5 linked regions of the Chlamydomonas reinhardtii genome follow. The main gene of each other region encodes a partner of the protein of the gene in region 2 in a complex. Links are inferred from orthologs where the notes say so. Each region holds a gene or a part of one and is shown on either strand. Other genes may lie near its edges. The genes, in order: CHLRE_16g676314v5, CHLRE_13g564250v5, CHLRE_04g217550v5, CHLRE_12g498100v5 and CHLRE_12g515650v5.

Evidence for each region.
Region 1: CHLRE_13g564250v5 (region 2) and CHLRE_16g676314v5 share a complex: the UniProt entries of both Arabidopsis thaliana proteins name them as parts of the eukaryotic translation initiation factor 3 (eIF-3) complex. The link is inferred for Chlamydomonas reinhardtii from reciprocal best matches to the Arabidopsis thaliana genes EIF3A and TIF3H1.
Region 3: CHLRE_13g564250v5 (region 2) and CHLRE_04g217550v5 share a complex: the UniProt entries of both Arabidopsis thaliana proteins name them as parts of the eukaryotic translation initiation factor 3 (eIF-3) complex. The link is inferred for Chlamydomonas reinhardtii from reciprocal best matches to the Arabidopsis thaliana genes EIF3A and EIF3C.
Region 4: CHLRE_13g564250v5 (region 2) and CHLRE_12g498100v5 share a complex: the UniProt entries of both Arabidopsis thaliana proteins name them as parts of the eukaryotic translation initiation factor 3 (eIF-3) complex. The link is inferred for Chlamydomonas reinhardtii from reciprocal best matches to the Arabidopsis thaliana genes EIF3A and EIF3E.
Region 5: CHLRE_13g564250v5 (region 2) and CHLRE_12g515650v5 share a complex: the UniProt entries of both Arabidopsis thaliana proteins name them as parts of the eukaryotic translation initiation factor 3 (eIF-3) complex. The link is inferred for Chlamydomonas reinhardtii from reciprocal best matches to the Arabidopsis thaliana genes EIF3A and EIF3K.

What each region holds. Positions count from the first base shown.
Region 1 is NC_057019.1:3,507,402-3,511,615, forward strand, and holds CHLRE_16g676314v5 (uncharacterized protein), read left to right. Parts: upstream 1-1,413; 5' UTR 1,414-1,509; coding exon 1,510-1,689; intron 1,690-1,851; coding exon 1,852-1,961; intron 1,962-2,394; coding exon 2,395-3,097; 3' UTR 3,098-3,716; downstream 3,717-4,214. Other genes in the region: CHLRE_16g675958v5 (uncharacterized protein), read right to left, coding at 1-266, 694-919, 995-1,035. UniProt on the Arabidopsis thaliana protein: Component of the eukaryotic translation initiation factor 3 (eIF-3) complex, which is involved in protein synthesis of a specialized repertoire of mRNAs and, together with other initiation factors, stimulates binding of mRNA and methionyl-tRNAi to the 40S ribosome.
Region 2 is NC_057016.1:317,037-321,325, reverse strand, and holds the start of CHLRE_13g564250v5 (uncharacterized protein), read right to left. Parts: upstream 2,801-4,289; 5' UTR 2,776-2,800; coding exon 2,428-2,775; intron 2,099-2,427; coding exon 2,012-2,098; intron 1,788-2,011; coding exon 1,573-1,787; intron 1,397-1,572; coding exon 1,240-1,396; intron 984-1,239; coding exon 675-983; intron 491-674; coding exon 1-490. UniProt on the Arabidopsis thaliana protein: RNA-binding component of the eukaryotic translation initiation factor 3 (eIF-3) complex, which is involved in protein synthesis of a specialized repertoire of mRNAs and, together with other initiation factors, stimulates binding of mRNA and methionyl-tRNAi to the 40S ribosome.
Region 3 is NC_057007.1:243,926-247,953, reverse strand, and holds the start of CHLRE_04g217550v5 (uncharacterized protein), read right to left. Parts: upstream 2,804-4,028; 5' UTR 2,607-2,803; coding exon 2,604-2,606; intron 2,538-2,603; coding exon 2,353-2,537; intron 2,271-2,352; coding exon 2,162-2,270; intron 1,993-2,161; coding exon 1,720-1,992; intron 1,564-1,719; coding exon 1,462-1,563; intron 1,284-1,461; coding exon 1,180-1,283; intron 1-1,179. Other genes in the region: CHLRE_04g217500v5 (uncharacterized protein), read right to left, coding at 3,839-4,028. UniProt on the Arabidopsis thaliana protein: Component of the eukaryotic translation initiation factor 3 (eIF-3) complex, which is involved in protein synthesis of a specialized repertoire of mRNAs and, together with other initiation factors, stimulates binding of mRNA and methionyl-tRNAi to the 40S ribosome.
Region 4 is NC_057015.1:3,278,606-3,282,824, forward strand, and holds the start of CHLRE_12g498100v5 (uncharacterized protein), read left to right. Parts: upstream 1-1,413; 5' UTR 1,414-1,490; coding exon 1,491-1,646; intron 1,647-1,805; coding exon 1,806-2,936; 3' UTR 2,937-4,219. Other genes in the region: CHLRE_12g498150v5 (uncharacterized protein), read right to left, coding at 1-6, 214-381, 647-775, 1,069-1,112. UniProt on the Arabidopsis thaliana protein: Component of the eukaryotic translation initiation factor 3 (eIF-3) complex, which is involved in protein synthesis of a specialized repertoire of mRNAs and, together with other initiation factors, stimulates binding of mRNA and methionyl-tRNAi to the 40S ribosome.
Region 5 is NC_057015.1:3,875,240-3,879,199, forward strand, and holds CHLRE_12g515650v5 (uncharacterized protein), read right to left. Parts: upstream 2,804-3,960; 5' UTR 2,776-2,803; coding exon 2,698-2,775; intron 2,586-2,697; coding exon 2,409-2,585; intron 2,215-2,408; coding exon 2,106-2,214; intron 1,944-2,105; coding exon 1,819-1,943; intron 1,539-1,818; coding exon 1,462-1,538; intron 1,059-1,461; coding exon 965-1,058; 3' UTR 309-964; downstream 1-308. Other genes in the region: CHLRE_12g515600v5 (uncharacterized protein), read left to right, coding at 1-124, 197-280; CHLRE_12g515700v5 (uncharacterized protein), read left to right, coding at 3,165-3,810. UniProt on the Arabidopsis thaliana protein: Component of the eukaryotic translation initiation factor 3 (eIF-3) complex, which is involved in protein synthesis of a specialized repertoire of mRNAs and, together with other initiation factors, stimulates binding of mRNA and methionyl-tRNAi to the 40S ribosome.

The sequences.
Region 1 (4,214 bases), on a different chromosome or scaffold from region 2:
GCGTAGCGGTCCATGCGGTGGTCAAAGGTGACTGACGACTGCTTCCATTTGACCGAATAGGAGAACTGCACGTCCAGCGTGTCTGCGGTCGTGATGTCCACTGTGCGCATGGGGTCGCTGGACACGTTGATCTCGATGATACGGTCGTCGTTGTAGGACAGGTCGAAGTGGAAGTGGGTAAAGAGGAAGTACTTGTGCGTACCCTGCTGCACAATCTTCTCCACCTTGCCGATGAAGCCCCACACAGGCAGGTCGTCGTAAAACATCTGGGGTCAGAGCCGCGGGGTCAGAGATAAGTACCTAAGCGACGCTCAACAGGAGCACGCACAGGAGCACGCACAGGAGCACGCAAAGAGAACCTAAAGGCAACTTCTTGGGGTAGACGGGGCATATGACGGGTCAAGCCGCTGTTGTGCTTTGGCGCGCACCAGGAACTATCCTCTTCTGGTATGTGCGACAGGTTGCGGGGCAGGTGTGCAGGGTGGCAAGGCCCAACATGCACACGGTAACCCAACATGCGGGCAAACTGCGAATGAGGGCAAACACGCAATAGAGGTGTTGACCGGCGCATGGGGTGTCAGCGACGAGTACAGGCCGGGAGTTGCTGGCAGCGTGCACCGGGCCGGGACGGACACGTCCTGGGGTACACGCGCCCGCACACCCGCTGGTCCCAGTCGTGTCAACCCGCCGCACCTGGAAGTAGTAGTCCTGCTTCACGGCATCCCTGAACTTCTTTAAGTCACCAGCAGTGAGCGTGCGTTTGCAGAGCACCGCGTTCTCAACATCGGTGCGGAACTGCAGCTTGTAGGGAGTTGTCACCAACCGGTCGCCCTCAAGCACCTCGCCTAGGAATTCCGTCTTATACTCCTTGCCGTCAGTGGGCTGGCAGAACGGCAAGTTGTAATACTGGTACGTTTCCCTGCAAGGCAAGGAGCGAAAATCGCGCCGCGTTGGCGCGCGAGCTGGCACCGCTGGCTGCAGCAAAACTACTCACGTCGGGTTTTGAAAGGGTCCGACTTTGTTTGCATACAGCATGATGTCACTTCCGGGCTTGAATTTATGGTCGCTGCCCAGCAAGACTCGCTCCGATGCTACGAGGGCTACAGCGCTTCCGAGCAGCGCTGCCATCAGCAAGCTCGCGCGCAAGCGCGCCATACTGCCAAGTATACTTTGAGGCCTAGCCGCCCTCGTCAACGCGCAAGCTTTTGGCGACTGTTGCGACGATCCTAGTTCGAAACACAGGTGATGCTACTCGTTGTTGTTCAGCATAAGCACGAAGGTACAAGCGCGAAAAGTACAGCAGCAAACTGACATTTCAGGTCTGAGAGAAATTGCATTGCAAATGGAAGTGCGATCGGGCCCCGCATTGCAGCCAAACACACCCTGATCACTGTAGACATCGTGTAGTCGTATCGTTTACTCTTGTGTTTAGCTTTTGAAAAACAGGCTTTGCTTATAGGCACGGCGCCGCCGACTTAGGCCGCTGGTTTATTGCAGAGGCGCTGAAAAATGGAGGCCATCGCTCCTAAGCCGCATAAGGAGCTCGTGAAGACGGTGCAGCTTGAGGGTCAGGTGCTGCTGAAGATTATCCAGCATTGCACTGAGGCGCTGCCCCAGAACGTTACCGGCCAGCTGCTGGGCCTGGATGTTGGTCAACAGCTGGAGGTGACGGACTGCTTCGCGTTCCCGGTGAGCGCTGAGGATAGCAGGCGCTGAGGGCGCCAAGCGGACTTTTGGGCGGCCCCCAGATTGCTCGCGTTGTCGAGCACGCATAGCAGGGGAAAGTCGCGTGTATCAGCATATGCATATGCACAATAAAGATCGGCGATGGTGTGGGCCGGGTGTGTGCAGGCTACCGTGGCGGACGATGACTCCGAGGCAGAGTCGGCCGGCGCCAACTACCAGCTGGAGATGATGCGCTGCCTGCGTGAGGTGAACGTGGACAACAACACCGTCGGCTGGTGGGTGCAGTCAATGCGCGAGCTCGCGGGGGAAAGGAGAGGGAAGGAGTCAGGTGCAAAAGCAGAGGAGGGGGAGTTGACGTGGGGAAGCGCCCTTGGGAAGCGCCCCAAGGCGGGACGGTACCGTAGCACTCATGCTAGCCGCCGGGACATCAGCGGACAAGGGCATGTGCGCACTACATGAGCGGCACGCTAGCTGCGGCAACCACCGTGTATGAACCGCCTGTCAGAGTCCTTGCCTGCGGACACGAGGCCCGTTCGGCCGTTGGCGGGGCTCGAGACTGGCCTGGGGGCGACATGGCCATCAGCCACCCGCGACAGTACCGCAAGCAGAACCTCGGGGTAGCAGCCGCCGAGCATCTTCAGGGCTGGACCCGACTGCGCACCATGCGCTTGCCTACGAACCGTGCACCTGCCGGGCCGCACCCCACAGGTACCAGTCGGCCAACATGGGCACCTTCCAAACCGTGGAGCTCATAGAGACGTTCATCAACTACCACGAGAACATCAAAAAGTGCGTGTGCATCATCTATGACCCCCAGCGCTCATCGCGCGGCAGCATCGCGCTCAAGGCGATCCGCCTCAAGGAGTCGTTCATTGAGCTGAGCAAGGAGCAGAAGCTGACGCTCAAGGGCTTTCGCGAGGCCAACCTGTCGTGGCGTGATATCTTCGTGGAGCTGCCCATCCGCATCCGCAACAGCAACCTGGTGCAGGCGCTGGTGGCGGACCTGATGCCCGCCCCCACCGCGACCCAGGCGGACGTGGAGCGACTCAACCTGTCCTCGGCCCCCTTCCTGGAGCGCAACATCCAGTCGTTGCTGGAGTGCGTGGACGACATTGTGGCGGAGCAGCAGAAGGTGACCATGTACCACAAGAACGTGGCGCGCCAGCAGCAGGCGTACGCGGTGTGGCTGGCCAAGCGGCGGCAGGAGAACCAGCAGCGGCAGGCTGACAACCAGGAGCCGCTGCCGGAGGAGGACCCAAATCTGTTCAAGCCCATTCCCGAGCCATCCATGCTGGATAACTACCTGGTGACCAACCAGATCGCCACCTACTGCGACCAGGTCAACGTGGCGGCGGGCGAGACCATTCAAAAGCTGTTCCTGATGGAGGGCATGCAGAAGGCGGGGTTGTAAGCTCGAGGACCTGCGAGCGGAAGAGCAGGCGCTTGCTGGGGCTGCGGGCTCGGCTGTACAGACCCATGACCACGGGATGCAGACACGGGATGCAGGAGGATGGCACCGCTTATGATGGGTGCTGTCGCAGAGGCTGTGCTTGCAGGGGCCAAACATGAAGCGCGTAGTGTGTGCTGTGGGACTGTAGTGGTTTGAAGGCGGAAGGCGCTGTCTGGTGCAACTGCTCTACCGAGCACACCTACCAGTGGCATTAGTTATTAGGTGCTCAGTTTGAGGGACAAAGGGCGGGATGGGATTGGGTGGGGCGTTTGTGGTATGGCCGCGTTGAAGCACACACAGCTTGCGCTGTTTTGAGCGCGCCAGCTAGCGGCGCATAGGCAGACATGACGAGTGCAGAGTGTTGTTGCTCTAAGAGGGTGGACGTAACCAGTACACGATCAGACATTGTAGGAGGACTGCAGGAGTGCAAGTTGTGAGGTGTCGCTGTGTGCAACCCGCGGCAAGGTCCGTGACGGTTGACTCTCCTCGCGAGGGCGAACATGGGCGCACGTACAAGTAAGACAGCCCACATTCCCTACGCGGCAGGCTCTGCCTTGTCGGTATGTAAGCGTAACGGCATCTTCGCGCGTTCTCGTGCTCAGATATGTTAAGTGTGGTGCCCTCCGTTCATGACTGCGATGCGTGGGGTGGGTATGGGAGGTCGGTGTGCGTGGCTTAATACGGGAACATGGGACTGCGCCTCCCAGTGGCACCCCTGACGGCTCCTTCGCCAGCCTGCGCAGCCCCACAGTGCAACTGTCATTGCAGGCAAAGCCGCCGGCTTTGAGCAATGCGCCGACGCCATTTCTGCTTGTATTGGATTTGTAGGTATTAGCCTGAACTAAACCAAGGGGGGAGGGGTGAGAATCGCGCAGGCACACCCCACACTTCAAACGGCCTTTAAATCAGGGGGGGGGTAGAAAGCTCAATTTCTTACCCCATGCTCAAAATTACAGAGCTTAAGGAGAGCATTATGCACGTGCTTTTAGTTTTTCAAGGGGGCGTCTGGTGAGGAAGTTCTGGGCCGCCAAAGTTGGGGGGTCGGTCCTCGTCCCTGGGGGTCCGTCGGGTTTCGGGA
Region 2 (4,289 bases):
CCGCCGCCAGGTGGCCGCGCACGCGGTCCGCCTCCACGCTCTGCGCGCCGAAGTGCAGCGTGCCGTTGCGGTGGTCCACGCGCATGGTCAGGTAGTCGTACTTGACCGCGTCCACCACCACCGCCTCCACCTCGGCAAAGGTGTAGAAGGGCACCAGCGCCGCCAGCTCCGAGATGCGCATCACGCTGTACACCTCGCTCAGCTGCTTCAGCAGGCGCAGCACCGCCGCCTGCTTGAGAGCGGGCACGTACTTGTCCAGCGCCACGCTGCGCACGGGGGCTGAGCCCGACAGCTGCGACGCCGCCAGCTCCGGCAGCTTCTCAAGCAGCGGCGCCAGCTTCTGGCACAGTTCCAGCGGGTTGAAGTCCTGCGACAGCGCGTCGTGGATGGAGCGCACCTCGGCCGGCACCAGCGACAGCAGGTTGGAGGAGGAGATGGTGGCCAGCAGCGCCTGGCGCGTCAGCAGACCGCGAGCGTCCTTCTTGGCGTCCTGCACGGGCGTTGCCAAGGTGCAGAGGGCAACGGGATGGTGAGCGCTAAGTCAAATGCAGTGTTGTGGGAGATGTGGGGACGCCCATTCTGTACCCCGCGCCTTGCCGTTGATCCCAACCAAGCGCAGTGCCTCTCCATCCAGTAGTCATCTAACCAGTATCGAAGGCGGCCCCTGGACTCACCACGGCGAAGCCCAGGATGGTTGCCATGCGGTTGGCGCGCTCCTTCTCCTGCTCAGCCGCCACGGCGTCCGAGGGTGCGCCGCGGGCGCCGGGCGTGTTGCTGCGCTCGTAGGGCAGGATGGCCAGCGCCGCCAGCAGCACGGCCGTAGCCATCTGCTGGTAGTCGGTCTGCGACATGCCGCGCGCATGCTGGCGGGCGAAGCTAAACAGCTTCAGCCAGGCGAAGGCGTGGTACATGGGGCTGTCCGACACGGCGAAGATCTGAGTCAGGCGCGTGTAATAGGACGCCAGCTGCGGCTGCTTGGGCGTCTGTGGAGGGCGAGCAGAGCGGTGGTGGATATGCGAGCCAGGCGACTGCCGGGTGCGAGCTGTTGTAGCTTGCAGGGTTTGTGCGCGCCCAGCAACCAGCCTCATACCCTGTAGCCCCGGCATGCGTGATGTTGCCAGCCCGGCCCCTCACAGGCAATCATTTCCACCCCCTCCCGGAAACCCGTGCCCCTCCTCCCCCCCTCCCTACCCCTCATTCGGCCTCCCCAGCCCCCGCTCTTCGGCTTCGCCCGCCCACCTTCTTGGTGAGCGAGATGAGCTGCTGGATGTCCTCCACGGAGCGGAAGGCCTCGCCCCACAGCTCCAACTCGCACGCCACACGCAGCTGCTCGAAGCGGCTCTCCAGGTGCATGGTCATGCTCTCCGGGCCGGCGTCGCGCTGCTCGCGGAACTTGCTGCACGGTGGGTGAAGGCGAGGAACAGTTGGTCGCGGTTGGGTATTGCAGCACTTCGGCAGGGCCCTGCTGTAGCGCACTGGCGCAATCCCAGCCCAAGTCTGGAGCCCTTCAACCGGTCTGGAGGCATCGGACGGCCTTTCAAGGGCCCCGCCCGCCGAGCGACCGGCACTCACTTGACCAGGTTAACCAGGTGCTGGCGCAGGATGTCGCACAGGCGCTTGAACTCGGTGGTGCGCTTGTACTGCAGGCAGAAGTGGAAAGCCTTGGTGGCCGTCATGGCATACAGCGGCTCCAGCTTGGGGTTGGTGCGCAGGATCTCCAGCACGCTGCGGTACGACTCCCACAGGAAGCGGAACCAGGGCGTGACCAGCTCGCGGTCGGTGCGGTCCTACGCGGGTGCGATGAGCGGGAACAGGGGGTTAGAAAGGTGGGGGAGCACGCTTGATGCGGATTCGCCCTTCAGTCGCCTCCCCGACGCACACCACCCCACGTCCTCGCCCACACCTCGCGCACACGCGCAGCACTTGCGTACAGCACCCCGACCCCAAGGAACAGCCCAGCGCAGCCCCAGCCCATGGATAAGTGCCCGTTGCTCCCTGCAACCCCACGCACCTTGTTCTTCTCGCCGGAGACATAGCTCAGCATCAGCTCCTCGGGGCTGGCGTCCTCCTCCAAGTCCTCCACGTCCAGTGTCACCGCCTACGAGATTGTATACCGATAGCTTTAGTGCCACGAAAACCAAATTGAAAAGCCCTGCGCTCCAGTGGAAGTTCCCGCGGAAACACATGTACTAGTCGGTGCCAGCAGCGTTAAATAGCCATTCCCAGTAAGAACCACGTATGTTCCATAAACAAACCACAATTCAACATTCCAAGGCACGCTGTAGGTTCGGTCCCGGCCCTCCCGCTCTGGCGGCTCCTCTGCACTCGATCCTGTGCAGGCACCCCAGGCTGCACGCGATCGCAGCCTCCACCCCGCGCTGTGGATCCAATAAACGCAGATCTGAGCCCTGCAGGCGCCTGGCTCACCGCGGCCTTCGCCTGCGCCTCCTCGGCCTTGTCGGCCGCGCGCTTCAGGAAGTGCTTAATGACCTCTTCCAGCGAGTTGATGTTGACCTGATGGCACATATTGCGATACTGCAGCAGCGCCTCCTTGGCATAGTTGCGCTTCTTCATATCCACGCAGAGCTCAACGTGCCGCAGCATGATGGCCTCAAACGTCTTAGACCAAGTGCGGTGCTTCTTGCTGCAAATAACATCGTGCAGGACCTGAAGCGCGGCGGACTTCTGGCCAATAGCCTCAAGCTCGTCGGACCTCTTGAGCGCATTCTCGGGCCTAGCGCTATAGCCGGGGCCACCCCGGTAAACGCGCGCCATTCTGGCACGCTTTTGTCTATGTAAGAAAGTGGTGCAAATATATTGACTGTTTGCTGCTGCTAAGGGAAAACTCCCGCGATGGGCAGACTCCGCCGCAATGAGTCTCGATCTGCTCGCCCAGCCACCGCTCGCCTTGCCAAATTGAACAAGAAACCACAGCAAGTACTTTAAAGCTTTTCTGAGCGCCGACTTCCTGCCTGGCCCTGGCACGCCCGTGTCTTCCCCTGCCCCAACCCGCTCGGCTGCGGGCGTCAGCCGCGATGGGGCGTTGGATGCGTGGGATGCCGGGGTCGGACGACGGGTCGGCCTCCAGTCGAAGGCACTTCCAATGTGGTAAAATGAGAGGAGGGAGGCTTGTGTTGGATAGCAGGGTGCACCAAGGATTGCATGGACCTGAAACCCTGAACTTGACACAGGACTCTCCGCCACCACGCTTATTATCCTACCGATATCCTACGATACCGGTCATTTCGGTGTCAAATTCAAGTGGCTAGCACAGATGCTGCTGGATGAAGGCGCCTGCGTAGCGCGGAACACACTTGCTGGGGTGCTGGCAAGGGGCCCCCTGGGAAGTTGTGGCTTAATCACTCCTTTCTCCACATGAACGGCTACCCCCCTTGGGGGCCCGCCCCGCTACTTAAAACCCCTGCCTACAAGCCCCCCCCGTCTCGGTACAGTAATCCCCGCGATACCGCACACCAGCCGCGCAATCTTGCCTTGATGGCGTTGTAAATTGATTGTTGGGGTCTGGGAATACGCTGTACGCGACGGGACTACGCCAACCTGGCCCTTACGCTGTCCCATCTCACCCCTGCCTACGACTTCATCACTACGAGCCCCACGACACCTGCTGTGCGTGGTTACAGGGGGGTAAGCACCTGACTGGCGGAGAATTGCCTTCAGTCCTGTTCAGGGCAAGGTGCCCATTTCACGCGACAGGCGTGAAGGTGCCCAAAAAACACCTCAGCTGACTACCACTGGCAGGTAACGCAGGTTCTACACACCCAGGAAGCGGCCGTGTGGCCATGTGCGTGACAGCGCGGTGCACGGCAGCCTGAACACCCGCCGGAAGTACCGGTAGCTGGTGCCGAAAGTAGCAGGCGCCTTGTCCATCAGCATTCTCAGTGTGCATGAGTGTCTAAGTAGCCGACTAGCAGTACAACTAGCAAAGAGTGTCAACTTGAATCCCCACCATTGTAAAATGGGCGAGCGGGTGCAAGGTGTCGTCAACTGGCCCGGGCGAAAGTTCCCGTGGGCGGTTGCCTTGGCCCCTTCCTTCAGACCGGAACAAGTGCGGAGGCCTGACAGAAACCTCAATTCAGTAGCCCCTCACAAGCTCACATTCGCACACTTCTCACACTTTACACACTCCCACGGTAAAGGCCCACAGCAGGAGTCCAGCACCCCGGGGGCACCGCGGACTGCTGTTTCCCCGGGCCGTGCGTTCTCCTCTGCAGTCTAAAGCAATGACAAAAAGTGGTTCTCTCTCTCAATGGAGAAGTGGCTGCGCGCAC
Region 3 (4,028 bases), on a different chromosome or scaffold from region 2:
GAACCAGCGCCGCGCCGCCCAGACCGCCGCGAGAAAGCCACGGCACACGCGCCAGCGACGCTGCCAGCCGCCGACCGCGCTTCGACTGCTGCAACTGCTACTGCTATCCCTGCTGCTGATGTTACTGCTGCTGCAGGGAACGTGTCCGCAACAGCTGCCGCCGCCCCCCTCTGTCACTGCCAGCACTGCCAGCAACGCTGCAGCCGGCAGTCGCCGCTGCCGCGACGCCGCCGCGACGCCGCCGCGACGCCGCCGCGTGCCGAGCCGCGCGCCAGGGGAGCCGCCCGCCTCCTCCATAAATGCCCGCCCCCCTCTTCCCGCTGGACCGACGGACTGTGCGGCGGGAGCGGCCGGGCCTGCCCCGCCCCCCTGCAGCTGCGCCTGGCTCCTTGTCCAGTGCGTCCACTGCTACTCCAGCGCCGCCATGCAGTGCCCCTGCCTGTCTGCTGCTGCTGTGGCGGCGGCTGCGGAGGCGGCGGCGCTGCAGGCGGCGGCTTGCAGTCCAGCACCTCCCTCCCTTCCTCCCGGCACTGTAGGTGGAGGCGCCGCCGCAGCCGCTGTGGCGGAGGGCCAGGCCGTAGCAGCAACAGCTGCTGCTGCACCGTAGCGCACCTTGCCGCGCAGGCGGGCATGCCAGCGCGCCAGCCCACGCCAAGCCATACGCCGCCGTGCCAGCCGCGCCACTGCCGCCGCTGGTGCGCCCGGTGCTCTCCCGCCCCCCAAGTCCCTCCTGCCGCCAGCGCGGCGCCGCCCGCCGCTGCCTGGCAGCGGCGCCGCCACAGCCGCAGCACACAGCCACGGTGGCAATCGGGCGCCTCCGTAACCCCCAGCCATAACCCCTGGCCAAAGCCCCCTCCGCGAGCCGCGTCGCAGTAGAGCCCGCCCTCAGCTTGCAGTCACACAATGCGGCAATACCGTCGCTGCTGTTGCTGCTGCTGCTGCTGGCGCCATTGCTGCCGTTGCTGCTGCCGCTGCCGCTGACGCAGCTCCCGCTGCCGCTGCTGCTGTGCAAGCGGGTAGCTCTCCGCGCTCCTTCGCCGTCAGCTGATGGGATCCCAGCGTTGCCACCAATCTCGGAGCTCCACGTCTCTGCCAGCCCGTACGTGCCGCCGTTCCCCGTCCCGCCTACGCCCTCCCCCTCCTCCGCCCAGCCCGCCCTCCCCCGTCCGCCTCCTCTACCTGGCCATGACGATCTCCCTCATCTTGCGCGCCACCATCTCGTAGGTGATCTCCTTGGGGTCCATGGTCAGCAGCTTGTCCTTGGCCTTGGCGGCCAGGGCGCCCTATTGTTATGGAAGGCCAGGGTTGCGTATGGAGGGGGAGCGCGTGGGGGTTAGCAGTAGCGGGGGGAAGGGTTCCAGGCATATGGTTAGTCAGACGATGGCAGTGACGAACAGAGTAGCAGTTGGCAGCACATGTCCAGGCAGACACACGGTACACGAAACACAAATGCAAGCGCACCTGCTTGCGCTCCTCGGCGTCGCGCTCGTCGTCGCTGCCGCTCTCGCTGCTGCTGCTGTCCGCCTCCGACACCTCGTCCTCCTCGTCGGGGTTCTCGCGGACCTGTGGCATGCGCAGGCGTTTCGCAGCATTTAATGGGGTGTTGCAGAGTCTGAGGCACGCATCCTCCTCCCGCACACGGTGGCCCGGACCCCCGCAGCCCGCTGCCGCTCTGCGTGCGCTTCCCCCCTATCTTTCCATTGCTGACCCCCGGCCGACCTTGTTGAGCTGCTCCAGCAGGGGCGTGTTGTGCTTCTTCAGGCGCTGCTTCATGGTGTTCAGCGCCTTCGCGTTCGTGGACGACATCTTCTTCTTCACCAGCTCCTTGTTCGCCAGAGTATCATTCAGGTAATCCTCCAGGTCAACCAGCAGCTTCAGGTACACGCGCGGCAGCATCGGCCCAGACAGGAACTTGCGCGTCTTGTCAAGGCGCGCGTTCAGCGTGTCGAACAGCTCCTGGATAGCGCTCCAGTCGTTGATCTTCATCTTGTTCTGTAAATACACAATAGGAATGCAGCCGCAGCGTGATAGACGCTCAGAACGCCGGTTTTCGCGCAAAAAAGCCTTGCCGCATCTCTCCCGCCACACCGTCGATCGTTCCCCGGCGCCCCGTGGCCACCCCATCGCTCTGCACATTTCCAGTCGAAGCTCCAGGCCTCACCCGGATGTCCTCAGCGGTTTGCGCGAGCTCGCCCATGCGCTTGTCCTTCTCGCTCTTCACCACGCGGCGATCATTGTCCGAATCCGAGTCGCTGGACCCAGCCAAGAACCTGAAATCATAGCATAAACACAAAAACGGTGAGCGCTGGGCGATGCACGCGCAGGGCACCTCGGCGGCTGCGATGTGCTCACTTGTTGGGCCCGTCGTCGTCGGAGTCGGAGTCCGAGTCCGAGTCGGAGTCAGAGTCCGAGTCGCTGTCAGAGTCCGACGAGGAGCTGTCGCCGGAGGAGGAGCTCTTGCCCTCCTCCTCGCTGCTCTCCTCCTCAGTGGTCTCCTCCTCCTCATCCTCGCTCTCGCCGCGGCCCCAGAACTTAGACTGCAGAGAAAAAGAAACTCCAGATCAGCAAAAGGCAGCGCCGAGGGGAAGAGCGAAACGTCCTACCATTTTTCGATCTAGTCGGCGGCGCGAAAAGAGACTGTTGTGATAAATGCAAGTGCGGACTTTGCCGCAAATGTATCCTAACAAGTAGGAAAGGACGGGTGCCGGTTCAGGGGAAGCGGCTTCTGGTGGAGGGGCTGCGATGCAGCGCGCGCGGAATGATGGTCTGTCTGCTCCCTGAGCCCTGGGCTGCTACAGACTGCACAGAAACCACTGCTAGTTAATTCAATTATGTGCGTGTTAAATGCACCAAGGTCGTCCTGGCACGGTGGCACGCCTCCCCTGCGCCTGCCCGGTGGCAACCTCCATCGCCCCCACCACACCCCTGCCACCCTCAGCACAGTAAGCAGCGCGAGGACGACACTCCACTGCAGCTGCTGTTATCTTCGCTCTCCGCTGCACCTCGCAGCCCGCCAGCCCGGCTGGGCGTTCGGCTGCGCGTTCGGCTGCCTTCGCCGCTGCCTTCGCCGCGTGCGTTGGCCCCAGGTCTGACTTCATCATCTGCTGCGCTGTGGCCCACTGCGGCGCGACTCGTTGTTCTGCGAGCGCTGCCGCCAGCATTCCTATGCCCCGGCCGTGCTACTTATGCTTGCACCACCTTCGTCATTTCCTCCCGTCGCAACAGCGCCGCCTGCAGGAGGAACAGCGAGGCTGCGAGGAACAGCGAGGAAGGCCTGCTGTGTCCGCCCACCCGCCACTGCTGGTGACCCGATGTGGGGGTCCCTACAATCCCCGGCCCAGGGACCCCGAACGCCGAGGGCTCCAAGCGTCGCCCCATACAACCACGAGGCCACGAGGCTAAAAGGGCGCCCCCCCCCCTGCACACGGTGCGTGGCTCTCTGTCAAGAAGGAAGAGGCACGAGCAGTGCAGGGCAGCGGGCGTGGCAGCGGCGGCGGCGATGACGACAGGTCTCTCGGGGCAGTGACATGCCTGGATTTGGTACTTCGTACCGCATTACGCAATACGCATGTACTCATGTTGCCGGCTTCCGGCGTGCCGCAATCACGGAAAGCACACAGCGCCCACACACCACTGACAGCACCTCTCTGGACTGCCCAGCCGACCCGCCGTCAGCTGCCCCGCCCCCTGAGGCTCCTCAGCTCCTGCCTTTGCCACGTGTTCTCTTGTTGCTTTGTCCTCATGCCTCATGAGCACAGCCCCCTTCCCCTCCGTCCAGAAGCCACCACACAAACGCTGCCATGGGTACCGTGCCCTCCAATCCCAGCCTCCTGCGTCGTCACTCCACGCCCGCCGCCGCCAACACCAACCGTGTCACCGCCCCCACATCCAGACGGCTCGCCACCGCCACCAGCGCCCCTTCCTCCCCCTCCCTCCTCACTGCCCCGGCTGCTTCCCCTCTCCGACCGCCGCCCACGCTAGCCGCCGCCGTTGATGCGGCCGCTGCCGCCGCCTCCGCCACCGCCACC
Region 4 (4,219 bases), on a different chromosome or scaffold from region 2:
GGCGAGCTACGGCATTGGAAGGGTGTGGGCAATGGAGCCGTGTTGGGGCCGGGTGACCACAGGACATTCACGCGATACCTACCAACGCTTGAGCATACCACCTCGGAAACTCCAGAGTGCAGACTGCCCCCCTATACCAGTCCTTGGCCATCAAGGTTACCGTACCGCAAGCCCCCGTAACCCTGCGAGTGTCCGAACCGACATGAGCCCCACCTGGGCAAAGCCACCAGCGCTGTGACCTCGGGCGCCTTGCCCTTGCGGTGGGTGCGCACCGGCTCCCCGCTGACCATGTCCCAGCACCTCAGCGAACCATCTTCGCAGCCCGCCGCCACCAGCGGGCGACCACCGACGCTCTCAGGCGGCAACGCCACACATGTCACTCTGCACGACAGGCCCGCGGCAGGGACACGCTTGCGAGCAAGTCCTGAGCGGCATGTTGGGGTTCCACTACAGTGGCTGTTCGCTATGCCAGGGCCAGGACGTTGCTGGCACGTGAGGACATGCGCCACCAGATGTGTGCGAAGGCCGCGTCGCGGCTTCAGCAACACGCAGGCCGAGCGCAGGCAGCAAATTGCATGTGCTGCCCGCAATCATCCCGACCCACCCGCTGCCCACCCACTACCTTGCAACCCAAGGCTGTGCGCACCTGCTCCCGCCCGTGGGCAGCATGCGCTGCACGGTGCGGCTCTGCGCGCAGGCCACCACCACCGCGTAGTGGCCGCCATACGCCACCAGCTGCTGGCTCGGCAGCACCGCCACCACCTGGCTGCTGAACCTGTGGGCATGTGAGGCGCATCAGTGACCTTACCAATGGGTGTGATGTGGTCTGACATGTAGGGGCTACGAGCTATGTGGCATAGCGCGGCGCAATCGGCGGTTGACAGTGCGTGCGGCTGTGACCCCGGCCCCTGCTTCCGGAATGCGGGTTTGCGGCCCGTGGGCGCACTGGCTTGAACAGGCCTGACACTCTAGCCCTTGCACCACTTGCAAAACGCATCAAGAGTACAGGAGCAGCGAACGGCGTGGGCAAAGCACGGACGCTGGCTCCCGACTCCCGACTCCGCCTACCAGTTGGGGGAGGGCGGCAGGACCACCGCCGACGGAGCCGCCATTGTCTCGTGATTGGCTGCGCTGTTTCTGGGCTCCCGCAACCCTCACCAGAGTCGCGTAGGCAAGCGCAGAGAAACGCAAGAGTGTGGCGATAGAGATCACGTCATTTCCCTACAGAGAAAGGGAAATGTGCCGATGCCCTATCTATACATACACCTAACCTCTTATGTATTAGTTCGGAGTCCGAAAGCCCGTTTTGAGCGGGCCAGGCCGATGGGCACTCGGACCCCCATCCGGCACAGCGCGAGAGCGGGCTGCGCACCGGGGCGTAGATCGCCCGTTCCTTTGTCATTCCCGCAGCCCCCACCCCATAATTGTTTCACAGCGGACTGGTCAGGCCTTAGGACTAGGCAAGGGGCGTAGCCGCCGCCGAGAGAAAGATGGCTGCCACCAACTATGAGCTTTCTTCCAAGCTGGTCCAGTATCTGGACCTGCACCTTACGCTGCCTATTATGGAATACCTCCAAGAGCGCGGCCTTTACAATGAGGACGACATCCTGCGCGCCAAGCTGGCGCTGCTGGACAAGACGAACATGGTACGCGCTTAGTGTTTAGATCTGGAGACCTGGCACTTGGAATGAGCTATTGGACAGGCTGGGGATGCCGGAAGCGGGAAGGGCAGCTCAGCGAGTGCAGAGGCCATCGGCCTTTCCAGTTTGAGTCCGGGTCGCTGAGCGAAAAATTCGATGTTGTAGGTGGATTTTGCGATGGATATCTACAAGGGCCTAAACGGCGTGGACGAGGTGCCTGCGGAGATGAAGGACCGCCGCAGCCAGGTGGTGGCGCGTCTTCGCCAGCTGCAGGCGGACGTGGACCCCATTATCAAGTGTCTGCAGAACAGGCATGTGGTGGAGAAGTTCCGTCAGGATAAGAGCTTCAACCTGCAGTTCCTCCAGGAGGAGTTCCAGATTGGCGCGGAGCACGTCGAGGCGCTGTATCAGTACGCGCGCTTCCAGTTCAACTGCGGTAACTACTCGCTGGCGGCGGAGCTGCTGCAGTCTTACCGCACGCTCTGCACCAACAGCGAGCGCAACATCAGCGCACTGTGGGGCAAGCTCGCTGCGGAGATCCTCATGCACGAGGCGGTGAACATCCAGGAGGCACGGGAGGACGTGTTCAAGCTGAAGGAGGTCATCGACAACCAGACGTTCGCCCCCCCGCTGGTGCAGCTGCAGCAGCGCACCTGGCTGCTGCACTGGTCCCTGTACGTCTTCTGGAACCATGAGAACGGCCGCAACGACATCATTGACCTGTTCCTCTCCCCAGCCTACATCTCCGCCATCCAGATCAACGCGCCGCACCTGCTGCGCTACGTGGCGGTGGCTGTGGTCATCAACAAGAAGAAGCAGCGCAGCGTGCTGAAGGAGCTCATCCGCGCCATCCAGCAGGAGTCGTACGAGTACTCGGACCCAGTGACCCAGTTCCTGGAGTGCGTGTTCGTGCACTACGACTTCGACGGCGCCCAGCAGAAGCTGAAGGAGTGCGAGGCGGTGCTGGACAACGATTTCTTCCTGGCGGCCTACAAGGACGAGTTCATTGAGAACGCGCGCCTGTTCATCTTCGAGACGTACTGCCGGATACACCAGTCCATCTCCATTGCGCTGCTGGCGGAGCGGCTGGGCATGGACCAGGAGGCGGCGGAGAAGTGGATTGCCAACCTCATCCTCAACGCCAAGCTGAACGCCAAGATTGACTCCAAGTCGGGGACGGTGGTGATGGGCACGCAGTCGCAGTCCGTGCACGAGCAGCTGGTGGACAAGGCCAAGATGCTGTCCGTGCGCACCTACGTGCTGGCCAACACCGTGGTGGGCAGCGTCAAGCCGTAAGGCACCGCGGCGAGCAGCAGCCGGGGGAGGAGGAGCAGCAAGCAGGTGGGAGTTGGAGCCATGGCGGCGGGCGGGATGGGGTTGGCGGGGGCGCGGGGATGCATGTGGGCCAGGGGGTCGTCTGGGGCTTGGTATTGGCGGGAATGGGGTGGAATAGAAAGGCAAGCTCTGGAGGTGAAGAGTGCTGGATTCCTAAGGGATTGGTAGATGGGGTAGCAATTGCATTGGGCAGACGGCTGCTAGGCCCAGTTCCAGCGGTGCTCCGCACGCGGCATGGCAAGGAAGGGGACCCGCGGCCTGGTAACGGACGTGCAACAATTCGCCGGTTGATACGGAAGAAGCCCTGGGAACTGCGAAGAGGTTCGAAAGGTTGACGTGACGAGGAATCACTTTACCTCAAGCTCTGATCGCCATCCATCATTCCCTTTTGCCTTGTAGATTGCGGGCTTGCTTGTGGACGACAGCGGTGTGCAGGGCGCGGTCTGCCGCTTCGGCAGGCGATTCACGACAGCAGCGAGCTTTGAGTTACGGGATTCCGTTGCGGGATGGGCAGCTTTCTACAGCAGCAAGCGTGGGAGCGCTGGCGACGGCTGCTGCACGGATCAGACCAGGAGCGCTGGGCGGAGGGCGCGGCAGCGGGTGTGGGACAGCGCTGGCGAGCGGCGTTCGAAGGTGCTGATGAGATGAGCAGTGACGTAGACGGGCGACAGCGGCTTTGCAATACAGTGAAGGGCGGTAGGAGCGCGGCGGCTGGAATTTGCAGCAGCTGCACGATTATCCCATGGGCGGGGCGCAAGGGCATGCTTGTTCAGCGACGTGAGACGGGGGGGTCGCCCCCTTGGCAGTGTGTTCGCGCGCGCCAGCAGCAGCGCGTGCCGGGGGGCTGTGCAGCCGCGGCTGGCACGGACTCGGCAACGCTTGTTCGGGTGAGCTCATTGGATGGGCTGTCTCGTGCTAGGGAGGCGGTGCATTCGCGTTCCCGTCGGGCTGGTGCGCTGCAGGCAATGGATTTCCTGGGGCTAGGGTCGGCATTGCCCGCTGCTGGTGGCTGCAGAGTGTACCTGGACGGGCACATGCTTTGGATAAGCCTGAGCGTGGACCGGCGTGGGGGCAATCGGCGTTGGCGTAGTGAGGAGCAGATAGGTTCTCGTGTATGCAGGCAGTGTGGCAGTGCGGCAGTCCGCACACGGGCTGTGGATGTAGGTGTGAACGCTGTGCCAACGAGACTGAAACTACGTAGGATTCGGGCTAGACCTAAGAGGACCATTCGGGGGAATAGGGGT
Region 5 (3,960 bases), on a different chromosome or scaffold from region 2:
GAGCGCTATTGTGGCTGCGGAAGCGCGCGTGGCCCAGGCGTCCGAGGCGGCTAAGGAGGCGGAGGAGCGGGCGGCCAGCGCGGCGGCGCACGCGACCGCGTACCAGGACATGTCGCAATCGCAGGTGGGCAGGGTACGGAAGGTGTCTGCATCAGAGAGTACCGATATCTGGGCCAAGCAAGCAAACGGCGCAAAGGACGCGAAACAAATTCTACGTTACACAATACACGCGCATGCATACTGCGCACTCTTGGCACTCCTGTGGGTGCCTCCAAGCTAAGCGCCTCTAACCCCATCTCTTCACACAGGCCGACATTGCCGAGCGCGCTGCATCCATCGCCAAGCGGCCGCCGCCCGGCCCGCTGGACCAGCTGCAGCGCCTGTGGCGCAGCGTCACTGGGCAGCCGGCGCACAACAGCCCGCAGCGAAGCAGCGGCAGCAACATCCCGTCCGCAGGCGCGCCGCGCCCCGGCACCGGCGGCTCGGCTCCTACAGGCGGCAGCGAGTCTGGCGGTGCCAGCGGCCCTGGCGCGGGGGGCAGCGGCGGTGGCTCGCGCAGTGCAAGCGTCGCCGCTGCGGAGAACCTAGGCAGCACCGTCAAGGGGCTGCTGTCGTGGCTTGGCCAAGGCGATGGCTCCCGTTAAGCTCGCTACACGCCACCAGCAGCTGGCTACATAAGCGCCGTGTACTATTCCAGCTAGCCTCCTTTGTAATGGGGTGCCATACCGCCGAACAAAGTCAGTACAGTAACGCCTTCTGCGATGCCTTCGCATGCGTGTGCGGACCGCCCCAAGGCGGGGCACGGCTTCTCAACGAATGCCCTTCACGCACTCAAGTCTACAACCCGATGGGCATACCGGGATCCAACGGTCTTCTATCTAATGCCTAGAAGAGTCTGACAGTAATGGTTGTGTGTCATGCTGTCATGGTCGTGTCGTCAAGTAATTTCAGTAGTAGCGTTGATTTAAAAGCCCACGGTCACGGCCTTGAGCATGGGCGCCACCTGGTCGAAGCGGATGAGCTCCTGGGTGCGCTTCACGACCGACTGGTTGTCGTCGCTGCGGGCAGAACGCGGGCGTAATACAGGGCAGGAGGGCCATGAATGGCGTGAGCTTGTAGCACTTGGGGTACAACCCCAGTTTTTAGGACAATCTGATACTAGATAAGCACGATATGTAGGTGAGTGTTGATGGAGGAGGAGAGGTTGTTTGCGGGGTGTGCATTTCCAGAGTACAGGTGCGGCAGGATTGGAGGTGGGCAGGTGGACATGGGATGTCGCGGCGCTATCATGCCATGTGGCACAGGAGGCACCAAACATGTTACCATGTTCGATCAGCTGTTTCAGCTCTGCGTGCGCCCACGGTGTGCCCGCGTGCCCCGCTTCCCGGCCCCTCATCCTAGCAATGCCAGCAGACCCCGCCCCCTCCGCAGGCCAGTCCAGAATTCTGCGCCTGTACTCACTTCTTGGGGAGCCCCACCACCTCGCCAGCGGGCGTGTTGACAATGCTCCAGCCAGCCGACTTGCACTTTTCAGACAGCTGTGGTCAGAAGCAAGCAGCCAGCAGGCGCGTTTTTACCCTGATGCTAGCTGATGAGGCGCACTGGCGAAGGGACCTTCAAGCCGGCGTCACAATCTCCCACCCCGCCGTATGCACACAGCTTAACCCTTTCGCTCACGTCCTCAAGCGACGCTCCTCAACGCCTTTCTACCCAACCCAGCCCTGCTTACTGCGCACCATTCACATGTAAACGCACACGGAGACACTGCCGCCACCACGCCCCCCCATAAGAAACTCGTAAGCGCAATGCATCACTCACGTACTGCTCCAGCGTGGCGCCCTCCAGCTTTAGGCAGTCCGCCAGCGTGCGCTTGGTCACGCGGCCGTAGGTGTGCACCAGCGTGTGCGCGATGAAGCCGCGCACCGACTCGTAGAAGCCGGGGACTGCAGCAGAGCAGCAGATAGAGCTGGTTTAATTGGCATTCGTGACGTGTGGCAATCGGGGCGCCTCTGTTGCCTCTGATTCCGCATCCGTTGCCTTTAAAAACCCCTGCGTCCTAGCTGAGTGGCTCCCACTCCAGCCAGGTCCCCGTGCGCTGCACTTACTGCCGCCCAGCAGGTCGCGGCAGGTGTTGGCCGCGTTCCAGAAGTCGCCGAAGCGGCTGGTCTCCAGCGCGTTTGCGAGCTGCACCACCTTGTACACCGACTCGTCAGACTGCAGCAATGCAGGGTTCGTGCAACGGATGGAGCAATAGTGGAACAGGAGAGGTGTGGAAACAGCCATGAAGGTGCCACAGCATTCCCCGCGTGTCTTGGGCGGCACCCCACGGTGCGGCCCCTAACCCACCCCACCCACCCCCTCCCCCAGGCCCTGACGCTTTAAACGCCATTCCACTGCACTTCGCACACCTGCAGCAGGCGCTCTGGAAGCAGCGTGATGCAGCATTTGTAGTCCTGCGCGGGCGCCTGCATGATCGCCTTGATAAGCACCTTAGCGACAATGGCAGGCTTCACGCTGGCCGGGCTGAACTGGTAGAAGCGCAGCAGCGTAACATTAGCATCCAGGCTCCATGAGCGGTTCGCGACCTGCAGCAGTGCAGGACGCTTTCAGCGCAAATTGCCGCCGCCGAGCATGTGTCGCCGTGCTGGCACCAAGGGGCCAGGGGACTAAACGGGCTGCTAAGAAATACAGATCTACCTGCTCATCAACATACGCCTCAAGCTGTGGCAGCTTGTCCGGCGAGTAACGATCAGCACCAGTCACGATAAGAGACATTTTAACTGGTATGTAAAGAAAGGAAGTGTCAACGTAAAAGAAAACCAAGACAAGTGGATGCTCACCCTGGGATGCGACGCTGCGATGGCCGATGATGGGGCTCCGAAGCGGTAGAATCCACTCTCTAGTCTGTGAAGTGCAACGATACTGCATGAGCTACGAACGTAAAGCTGTATACACGCACTGGGAAACTGATTTCTTGCATAGCGCGCGTCTCGACAGCTCGCCAAGCTCTCTCCCTGCTCCGAACACGCCGCGAACCCCACAATTATCGCGTGCTTTAGGAGAGACTGTCGCGCCTTGAGCGGCTCTGCAGGGGCCGGGCGCTCGAGCGATCAAGAGGAGCGTCGTGCGCCAGCCCCGCCCTTCGCGTCCTGTCACCTTCCACAATGCTCCTCCGGTTGCGGCAGGCGCTGCCGCTGCTGCAGACCTTCAACAGGTGGTCTGCAATAGCACCTATCCCCAGATTCCGCAGCTTCCCCGCTGCCTCGTCTGCCGCTGATAGCGACAGCGCCCTGCCAGCGGTAGACGGTGCCAGCGGCGAGCCGCCCAAGCCCAAACGCACTCGCCGGGCAACCTCCGCGGCCGCCGCCGTGCCCAGCGGCAGCAGCGATGATGTACCAGTGGCAAAGAAGCGGGCTAGCCGCAAGACCGCTGCCACTGACAGCGCGACTGAGGCAGGGCTGGACCCCTCGTCTGGGCCGAGTGAGGACGACGCCGAGGCGGCAGCGGCTGTGCCCAAGAAGCGTGCCTCGTGCCGCAAGGCGCAGGCTGCCGAGCCGGGCGAAGAGGCCGCTGCTTCAGCATCCGGAGTAGCAGAGGTTGGAGGTGATAGCGCAGCTGCAGCAAAGCCAAAAGTTACGCGCACGCGTCGCACTAAGGTAGCAGCCGAGACAGTTGCAGAGGGGGGCCCGGAAGCGGCGGCGGCTCCTGATGGGGAACTGCAGGCGCCCAAGAAGCGCGTATCCAGACGCAAAGCTGCCGTGAAATCATCATCCCAGGAGGATGGAGAGGAGGAGAGCATTACCATACGGAGTGAGTGGGTCTGCGCCCTTGCGCTTGCTCGCCATCAGGTGCTGCCAGCAGCGTTCTACTCTCCACTACTGCGAAGCCCGTTCCTGCACCCTTGTCACCCTTTCCTGCGCCCTGCGCGCCGTCCGTCCTCCTCACTCTCATCTCTCCCCA